Linked DNA regions of Ovis aries. The protein of the gene in region 2 interacts with the protein of the main gene of each other region in a pairwise test. Links are inferred from orthologs where the notes say so. Each region holds a gene or a part of one and is shown on either strand. Other genes may lie near its edges. The genes, in order: HBQ1 and RFESD.

The links.
Region 1: the proteins of RFESD (region 2) and HBQ1 interact in binary tests that used the Homo sapiens proteins (3 or more experiments, as listed by UniProt). The two-hybrid records come from large-scale screens. The link is inferred for Ovis aries from reciprocal best matches to the Homo sapiens genes RFESD and HBQ1.

The regions. Positions count from the first base shown.
Region 1 is NC_056077.1:761,473-765,859, reverse strand, and holds HBQ1 (hemoglobin subunit theta-1), read right to left. Parts: upstream 3,066-4,387; 5' UTR 809-3,065; coding exon 714-808; intron 576-713; coding exon 371-575; intron 272-370; coding exon 143-271; 3' UTR 86-142; downstream 1-85. Other genes in the region: hemoglobin subunit alpha-1, read right to left, coding at 3,066-3,194, 3,299-3,503, 3,605-3,699.
Region 2 is NC_056058.1:92,606,378-92,610,639, reverse strand, and holds the start of RFESD (Rieske domain-containing protein), read right to left. Parts: upstream 2,805-4,262; 5' UTR 2,742-2,804; intron 1,901-2,741; exon of another isoform or gene 968-1,900; 5' UTR 340-967; intron 1-339.

The DNA.
Region 1 (4,387 bases), on a different chromosome or scaffold from region 2:
CTCCCCTTGGGAGGACGTCCCACCCCCACTCACACCGCCACCCCACCCTCGTCAGGCCCCTAGAAAAGAACACGGGCACAGCTGGGACTCTGTCTGCGGACTTTACTCAAACACTGGAGCCCCCAGCGACCACCCTCCCAGTTTAGCCACTGCTGGGGGCCAGCGCCGAGATCACGTGGTTCAGAAACCTGACCAGTGAAGCGTGCATGTTGGGGCTGAAGTCTCCGGGGTAGTGCCGGGCGAGGGTCACCAGCAGGCAGTGGCACAGCAGCTGCAGACATACAGAGTGGTCCCCACGCGGTGCACCACCCCTTACCTGGGGGGAGCCCCCTCCCCTGGCGACGGGCGTCGGCCCCACCCGCGAGCTCACCTTGAAAAAGACCGGGTCCACGCGCAGCTTGTGCGTGTGCAGCTCGCGAAGGTACGACAGGGTGCGCGGCAGGTCGTCCAGGTGGTTCACGGCCAGGACCAGCGCGTTGGCCACCTTCTGGCCGTGGGCTCTGACCTGGGCGGAGCCGGGGCTCAAGTTTAGGTGAAGGAAGTAGGTCTTGGAGGAAGGGAAGGCCACGAAGGTCCTGCGGGAGGAACGGCGAGTGAGGCGCGTCCTGATGGCGGGGCCTCGGGAGGAAGGGCTCTGGAACCGGACGGCGGGGGACGCATCCCCCGAGCCCGCTGAAGACAGGTGAGCCCTGATGCGCCGGGGCCGTGCGCACCTCTCCAGGGCCTCCGTCGTGTAGATGCCGACGTTGGTCCCGAGCTTCCGCCACAACGCGAGCACTGCAGCGCGGTCCGCCGGCGCCAGCACCATCGTGGAGACAGCCTGCCGCGCTCTCGGCCTCTCGGTGAAGCCCGGGATGCGCCTGCGCCTGCGCCTCTCGGCCTGCTGCCCCCTTGGCCTCCGGGGGGCGCCGGGCCTCTGGTCGCAGAATCTGGCCGGGAGGGGTCTAGGAAATCTCCACGGAGCGTCAGCTCTGACCTGGGGCCTTCCCAATCGCCCTGGACCCTGAAATCCCTATTTTTGGAAACTAATATTTAGTATGTGTCAATATTAGGTGGCCCTGAATTTTAGCATGGAGTTTGGCATTGGACGTCAGTCTGTTTTCTCATTTATGGTATATAAGGAAAGTAACAGTTTCTTCTTCCCAAGGTTGTTCCTGGTTCATAGCAGATGCCCTTTTCAGGACAATGAGCATTCAGAGTGGCTAGGATAGATCCTACAAATAATAGCCAATACCTATAAAGCACTCATTCTGTGCCAGGCATCACCATACATCCTTTTTAAAAAATGCATTGAAATTCACATAAAATTTACTGTCTTAGCCATTTGAGGTGTACAATTCAGTGTCTTTAACTACATTCACACTATGTGTTACCATCACCACTAATTCCAGAACTTTCTTATCCCAAATAGAAATCTAGTTGGCGCTAATGGTAAAGAATCCACCTGCCAACGCAGGAGACTTAAGAGACATGAGTGTTGGGAACACAAGGGTTCGATCGCTGGGTCAGGATGATCCCCTGAAGGCGGGCACGGCAACCCACTCCAGTATTTTGTCAGGAGAATCCCATGGACAGAGGAGCCTGGAGGGCTGTGGTCCATAGGATCGCAAAGAGTTGGACGCAACTGAAGCGACCTAGCACAGTACAGGATAGATCCCCCACATAATAGCTCATACCCATGTAGCACTCATTCTGTGCCAGGCATCACTATACATCCTTTAAAAAAATGCATTGAAATTTGCATAACATAAAATTTACTGTCTTAGCCATTTTCAAGTGTACAATCCAGTGATTTAATCATATTCACTGTGTGACCATCACCACTATCTAATTCCAGAACTTTTTCGTAATCCCAAAGAGGAACGCTGTCCCCATCAGCAGTCAGTCCATAACGCCTGCCCTCCAGCCCCTGGGCATCACCAGTCTGCTCTTGGCCTCTGTGCATTTGCCTATTCCGGACATTTCATGTGAATAGAGCCATGCAGCACACGGTCTTTTGTATTTGCACTTCATTGCTTGTTATGGCTGGGTAACATGCCATTGTCTGTTTAGACCACATTTTGTTTGTCCTCTCATCTCTCGATGGACATTTGGGTTGTTTCCACTTTTAGTCCAGGCTCTCATTTTGCCTAATAATAAAATAAGGAAGACTGCCTCTTACTGAGCTCATATGCTAAAAGCAGAGCACATTGAGGCAGGAAACTTGCCATCCATTTTCTGACAGAGACTCTTGGGCCCAGGGAAGAAAGGACACTGCTTCCCAAGCTGAAAGCTTGGGGCTGGACCACTGCCAGGACTGGACACCTCAAGCCGCAGGCGCTAGGGGCATTCTCCACAGGAAGAAAGCACCTCTGAGTGTAGGCGCCCTGCCCCTGGCTCTCCTCTCCACAGCAGCGCCAGGGGGAGTCAGTGGGCCTCAGGGCAGTGCAGGGCAGGGCAGGCCTCAGGATCCTGAGCTGGGCCCCCCAAATCAGGCCTTCAGACCCTCAATGGCCCAGTGGGTGTCCTGAGGGGGTGTGTGTACCAGGTGACAGAGGTGCCTCCAGGACCTAGCCTGGCTCTATAAGGGCACTATGCACCCCTAGCTTCCTCTAGGCACTTGGTGGGGAGGGAGGCACCCAGAGGGCCTCTGTGTTCTCAGCACCACCCAGCTCTGGGAGCAGCCCCGGGAGAGCTCCGAGTCCTGGCTTGAGGTCCACCAACAAATTGATCATTTGCACAAAAAACTCCGTGATGAACATGCAAGGCTCTGGGATGAATTCAGGGAAGGGCCAAGATACTCAGAAATCACTCCAGGCTGAGGGTGAGGGCTGCCCAGAGAATCCCAGGTAGTGGCAGTGGGGCAGGCTGCACCCCCACCCCTCCATCCAGTTTTCCCCTTCTCTCTCTCTGCCTGAGAGCTCCTTGGTCTGAGGCAATGAGAACCTGGGCCGGTTCGCGGACAGAGACCCGAGGCTACAGACAGACACTGCAGCCCACTCAGACTTTATTCAAAGATCAGGAGGTGAGAGTGCGCAGAGCGCAAGGGCGCTCCAGGCCAGGGTAGGGGTCGCCGAGGCTCCAGCTTAACGGTATTTGGAGGTCAGCACGGTGCTCACGTTGGCCAAGAACTTGTCCAGGGAGGCGTGGACCGCGGGGGTGAAATCATTGGGGAGGTGGCAGGCCAGGGTCACCAGCAGGGTGTGGCTCAGAAGCTGCCGAGAGAGGGGACGTCAGTGGGGCGGGGGCTGGGTGGGGGCGCCGCCGCATTCTCCGCCCCGCTAGCCCAGGTCTGTCCCGGCCCGGCCCGCGAGCTCACCTTGAAGTTGACCGGGTCCACACGCAGCTTGTGGGCGTGCAGGTCACTCAGATCAGACAGGGTACCGGGCAGGTCGTCCAGGTGGCCCACCGCTTTGGTCAGCGCGGCGGCCACCTTCTCGCCGTGGCCCTTGACCTGGGCGGAGCCGTGGCTCAGGTCGAAGTGGGGGAAGTAGGTCTTGGTGGTGGGGAAGCTCAGGAACATCCTGGGTGAAGAGGCGGGAAAGCCGGGCTCAGGCCGAGCGGCCCGGGACAAGGACGCGCCCGGCGAGCGGCCCGGTCCCCTCGGGGCGGGTGCGGTGCTCACCTCTCCAGAGCCTCTGCGCCATAAGCTCCAGCGTTGCCGCCAACCTTGCCCCAGGCGGCCTTGACATTGGACTTGTCGGCGGCAGACAGCACCATGGTGGGTTCTCTCTGAGTCTGGGTCGGGACCAGAAGCGTGCGGGGCTGCGAGTGCGCGAGCCTTTATGCGCCCGGCGCCAGGAGCACGCCCGCCCGCGCTGCGCTCATTGGCTGGCACGCGGCATGCGCGGCCGGACCAGGACCGCAGGGGGCGCGCGGAGTCCGACCTGCGCCCGGCCGGGCGATGGGTGCTTCCCTCACCCACCCAGACCTGGACTCTGACCGGGGGTTCTTGCTTCCACCGTCTGCTTCCCGCCCGCTGCGTCCACCTTCCCCGGACGTGGTAGCCTCGCGCCAGGTGGCAGGGGTGGGATTGTGGAGCTGGGTAGATGCCCGCTCCTGCATCCTGCAGGAGTTCCCCAGCTGTCTTGAGAACGGAAGGGAGTAAGTCAGCCCGTGCTACCCACCCCGGACCTAGGCTTGGCACACTCTGGGCATTTTAAACTTGGGCAGTATCAGTGAAGGAACGGGCGACTGAGTGCGCCTAGTCCATGCCAGAGGCAGCCGGACGCAACACACTTGGCTCACCGTTCGCATGTGATCAGCGAATTCCTCCCCACCGCCGTCCAACCCTCCTGTTCCTCTTCAGCCTTGGCGCTCCCAGATTCCTTTCTTTCCGCAGAGAGTTTTTGGGTGCAACTGAGTGGCAGTCTTGGAAGGAACAGATACTGAGAGCGGGTTACAGAAT
Region 2 (4,262 bases):
TGCTTTTACTGAGTCTGGGGACTTGATCTACACTTATCAGAATGCAAAACTCCAAGGTGACACCTTTATTTTAGGTTCAGAGATGAGAAATGCCATAGCTTTAGATTTCTTTGTCTGGCAGAATAATAGATAAAACTAGCTACCTTTAGTGAGTGCCAAGTGCTTGGACTCTGCATATATGAATTCATTAATCCCCAGGAAAAAATGCCTATTTTCCAGATGAGGAAACTAAGGGTAAAGGACTTTCACAAAAGCTTGCCCAAACTCACAAAATCACAGAGAAGATTCAAACTTAGGTCTTATGTCTAAACTTTGTGAAGACTGATATATAAATCTTACCATTTTATCTAAGTAGCATCCACGGATTTATAAAAATAGGTGGCACGCATATACACTATCTTGAAGGTACAAAACCTTTTCGCAAAGATGTTTGTGTGTACCCTCCACATATATATATCCTTAGATGATGGTCTTGAATTTTTTTTAATTTAGGAAAGCCAATGTGCAAGACTCGTGTCAACAAATGTTTGAAACGAAATCAGTTCAGTTCAGTCGCTCAGTCGTGTCCTTCTCTGCGACCCCATGGACTGCAGCACACCAGGCCTCCCTGTCCATCACCAACTCCCAGAGCTTACTCAAACTCATGTCCATCATTTTGGTGATGCCATCCAACCATCTCATCCTCTGCCCTCCCCTTCTCCTCCTGCCTTCAATCTTTCCCAGCATCAGGGTCTTTTCCAATGAGTATGTTCTTTGCATCAGGTGGTGAAAGTATTTGAGTTTCAGCTTCAACATCAGTCCTTCCAATGAATATTCCCAGGACTGATTTCCTTTAGGAAGGACTGGTCGGATCTCCCTGCAGTTTAAGGGACTCTCAAGAGTCTTCTCCAACACCACAGTTCAAAAGCATCAATTCTTCGGTGTTCAGCTTTCTTTATAGTCCAGCTCTCACATCCATACATGACCACTGGAAAAACCAATAGCCTTGATTAGATGGATCTTTGCTGGCAAAGTAATGTCTCTGCTTTTTAATATGCTGTCTAGGTTGGTCACAGCTTTTCTTCCAAGAAGCAAGTGTCTTTTAAAATTTCATGGCTACAGTCACCATCTTCCCTAATAATTTAAGAGTTGCGCAGCCAGTCCTGGAATCCGCAGGTGTCGTCTGCGACATTAGAGACCTTACAGTAGCAGCTGCACTCACCTGGGTTTGAACCCCCAGCTCTGCCTGACTTGTGAGAAGTCGGCTAATGTCGCTGCGATGCAGTGTGTGCGACTATAACGCAGACCTGCACTAAGTGCAGTGGTAGGGACAAACGTCTCAGGACAGTCAAGTGTCCAGGGTGGGTCCTGGGGGTGGGAAACTCTGCAATCACCGTGGCGGTCATCTCTTAAGGGTCCTGCCAGCTCTGACAGCCTATGGGCAAGGACTTCAAGCTGTGTTCAACGTTTGAGTCAAGACAACCTGCAGTTGTCAACACCAAGCTCAAGAACCGAAAAGACAACCAGAGCGTGGCTATCAAGACATGGGTGATCATTCTGCCTGCAGACTTCAGGAGTCGGATACCCAAGACGGCTGGGGCTGCGGCAACCCTGGGGCAAGTTTCATACATTTCAGAGCACAAATGCTAAGAAAAGTGAAAGTCGCTCAGTCCTCTCCGATTCTTTAGAATTCTTCAGGCCAGAATACTGGAGCGGGTAGCCTTTCGCTTCTCCAGGAGATCTTTGCAACCCAGGGATCGAACCCAGGTCTCCCGCATTGTGGACGGATTCTTTACCTGCTGAGCCACCCGGGAAGCCCAAGAATACTGGCTAGCCTATTTCTTCTCCAGTGGACCTTCCCGACACAGGAATACGAACCAGGGTCTCCTGAAGATTGCAGGCGGATTCTTTACCAACTGAGCTATGAGGGAAGCCAAATGCCAGGAAAGCTTGTTAAAAAATGGACCAGGGAAGCGGCTGTTAAAAAGCAGAGACATTACTTTGCCAACAAAGGTCCGTCTAGTCAAGGCTATGGTTTTTCCGGTAATCATGTATGCATGTGAGAGCTGGACTATAAAGAAAGCTGAGCACAGAACTGATGCTTTTTCACTGTGGTATTGAAGACTCTTCAGAGTCCCTTGGACTGCAAGGAGATTCAATCAGTCCATCCTAAAGGAAAGTAGCCCTGAATATTCATTGGAAGGAGTGATGCTGAAGCTGAAACTCCAATACTTTGGCCACCTGATGCAAAGAACTGACTCATTTGAAAAGACCCTGATGCTGGAAAGATTGAAGGCAGGAGAAAGGGATGACAGAGGATGAGATGGTTGGATGGCATCACCCACTCAGTGGACATGAGTTTGAGTAAACTCCAGGAGTTGGTGATGGACGGGGAAGCCTGGCGTGCTGCAGTCCATGGGGTCGCAAAGAGTCGGACACGACTGAGCAACTGAACTGAACGGAAGCTGCAGGTCCGGAGTGAGGACCAGCCTTGACGGTGAACAAGCTCGATGGGCCCGCAGTGCCCGGGCAGAAGCCTGTGCTGGGGGTTCATCGTTAAGGAGAGCTGCGTCTAGGGCGGCGGGACCGCAGCGCTCAGAAGACCCAGGATGAAATGCAGCACTGCAACCGCGAACCCACCCCCAGTCTCCTGCGCCACCGGAAGCCCGAGCCCCGGGCCCGCCGCCCGGCCGGAAGTGGCTAGTCTCGCGAGCCCCGCCCCGCGAGAGGCCGCCCAGGCCCGCGCCGGGAACAGAACTTACCTTCCCTGAGTCCCTGCCCCACCTCCGCGAGACCCGGCCGCAGCGCCGCCGCGTGAGGATACTGAACCGGCCAGGGAAGCCGGCGGCCGCGTGGCGCTCCGCGTGACCGGGCGGGGCGGGGCGCCACCGCCCACGTGACCCGAGCGCGCCCGCCCCCGGGGCGGCCTCTGAGGCGTCGCGGGCTGCTGACCCTGCCTGACCGCGGCCGCCGGCTCGCCGCGCTCCGCCGGGACCTCTGAGCTGACCGTCTCAATCGTGTGTTTTACCGACGTGGGCTCCCCCACTTCATTTTAAAACGTTTGCTGAGCTCATCACATTTATCTAGATTTTGAACTCACCCGGGGGTTTTCCTTCTAGAAATTTACCTCATAAAAATATTTACTAGAGTTCGTCACGATGCGTATAATCTATGTATAATGGTGTTTATTGAACTCACTCAGGGTCTGTCTTCTAGAAATTTACCTCATAAAATATTTAGTTTGTCATGATGCATATAGTCAATGTATAATGGTGTTTATTGAACTCACCCGGAGTCTGTCTTCCAGAAATTTACCTCACAAAAATATTTAATAGGAGTTCATCACGATGCATATAATGTATGCTACTGCTGCTAAGTCGCTTCAGTCGTGTCCGACTCCGTGCGACTCCAGAGACGGCAGGCCACCAGGCTCCGCCGTCCCTGAGATTCTCCAGGCAAGAACACTGGGGTGGGTTGCCATTTCCTTCTCCAATGCATGAAAGGGAAAAGTGAAGTCGCTCAGTCGTGTCCGACTCTTAGCGACCCCATGGACTGCAGCCTACCAGGCTCCTCCGCCCATGGGGTTTTACAGGCAAGAGTACTGGAGTGGGGTGCCATCGCCTTCTCCAGCATATAATGTATAATGGTGTTTATTGCCAGAAAAGTGACAAGAGCTCAAATGAGCCTCAGCTGGGAAGTGGTTAAATACAATGTAGACATGTGAATTACTTTCTAACCACATACTCACCAGCACGGTTCATGATGTAATGAATGAATTTGTTACAAAGTATGGAATACTGTGTAGTATGCTTTCTTTGGGGGTAAATAAAAGTTATTTCTCTAGATACAAATAATGTAGATATATGCACATAAGCTTAAAAAATTGGGTCTTTAAACTTGGGGGGGGAGGAGATGGGTTTCACTCTCATCTTTTGAACTTTGCAACTTTGTTTTTTTCTATTTATGTTTCTGTGAGGAAAAAACAAAACAAAAAACCCACACACGTGCATGTGTTCAAAGTTGGAAGCTAGATGAGTCTGATAGGTTTTTATATTTTTAACTGGAGGAAAACTGCTTTATAAAAATCAGCCATATTACACGCATATGCCGACGTTCTTGAGCATCCCATCCATCCCCACTTCCCACCCCTCTAGGTCTTCACAGAGCGTCAAGGTGGGCTTACTGTGTTATATGGCAAATTTTCACCAGTTATCTCTTTTACACGTTAGTGCATATGTCAGAGTAACTTTCTCCTTTTGTCCCAGTCTTTCCTTCCACTGTGT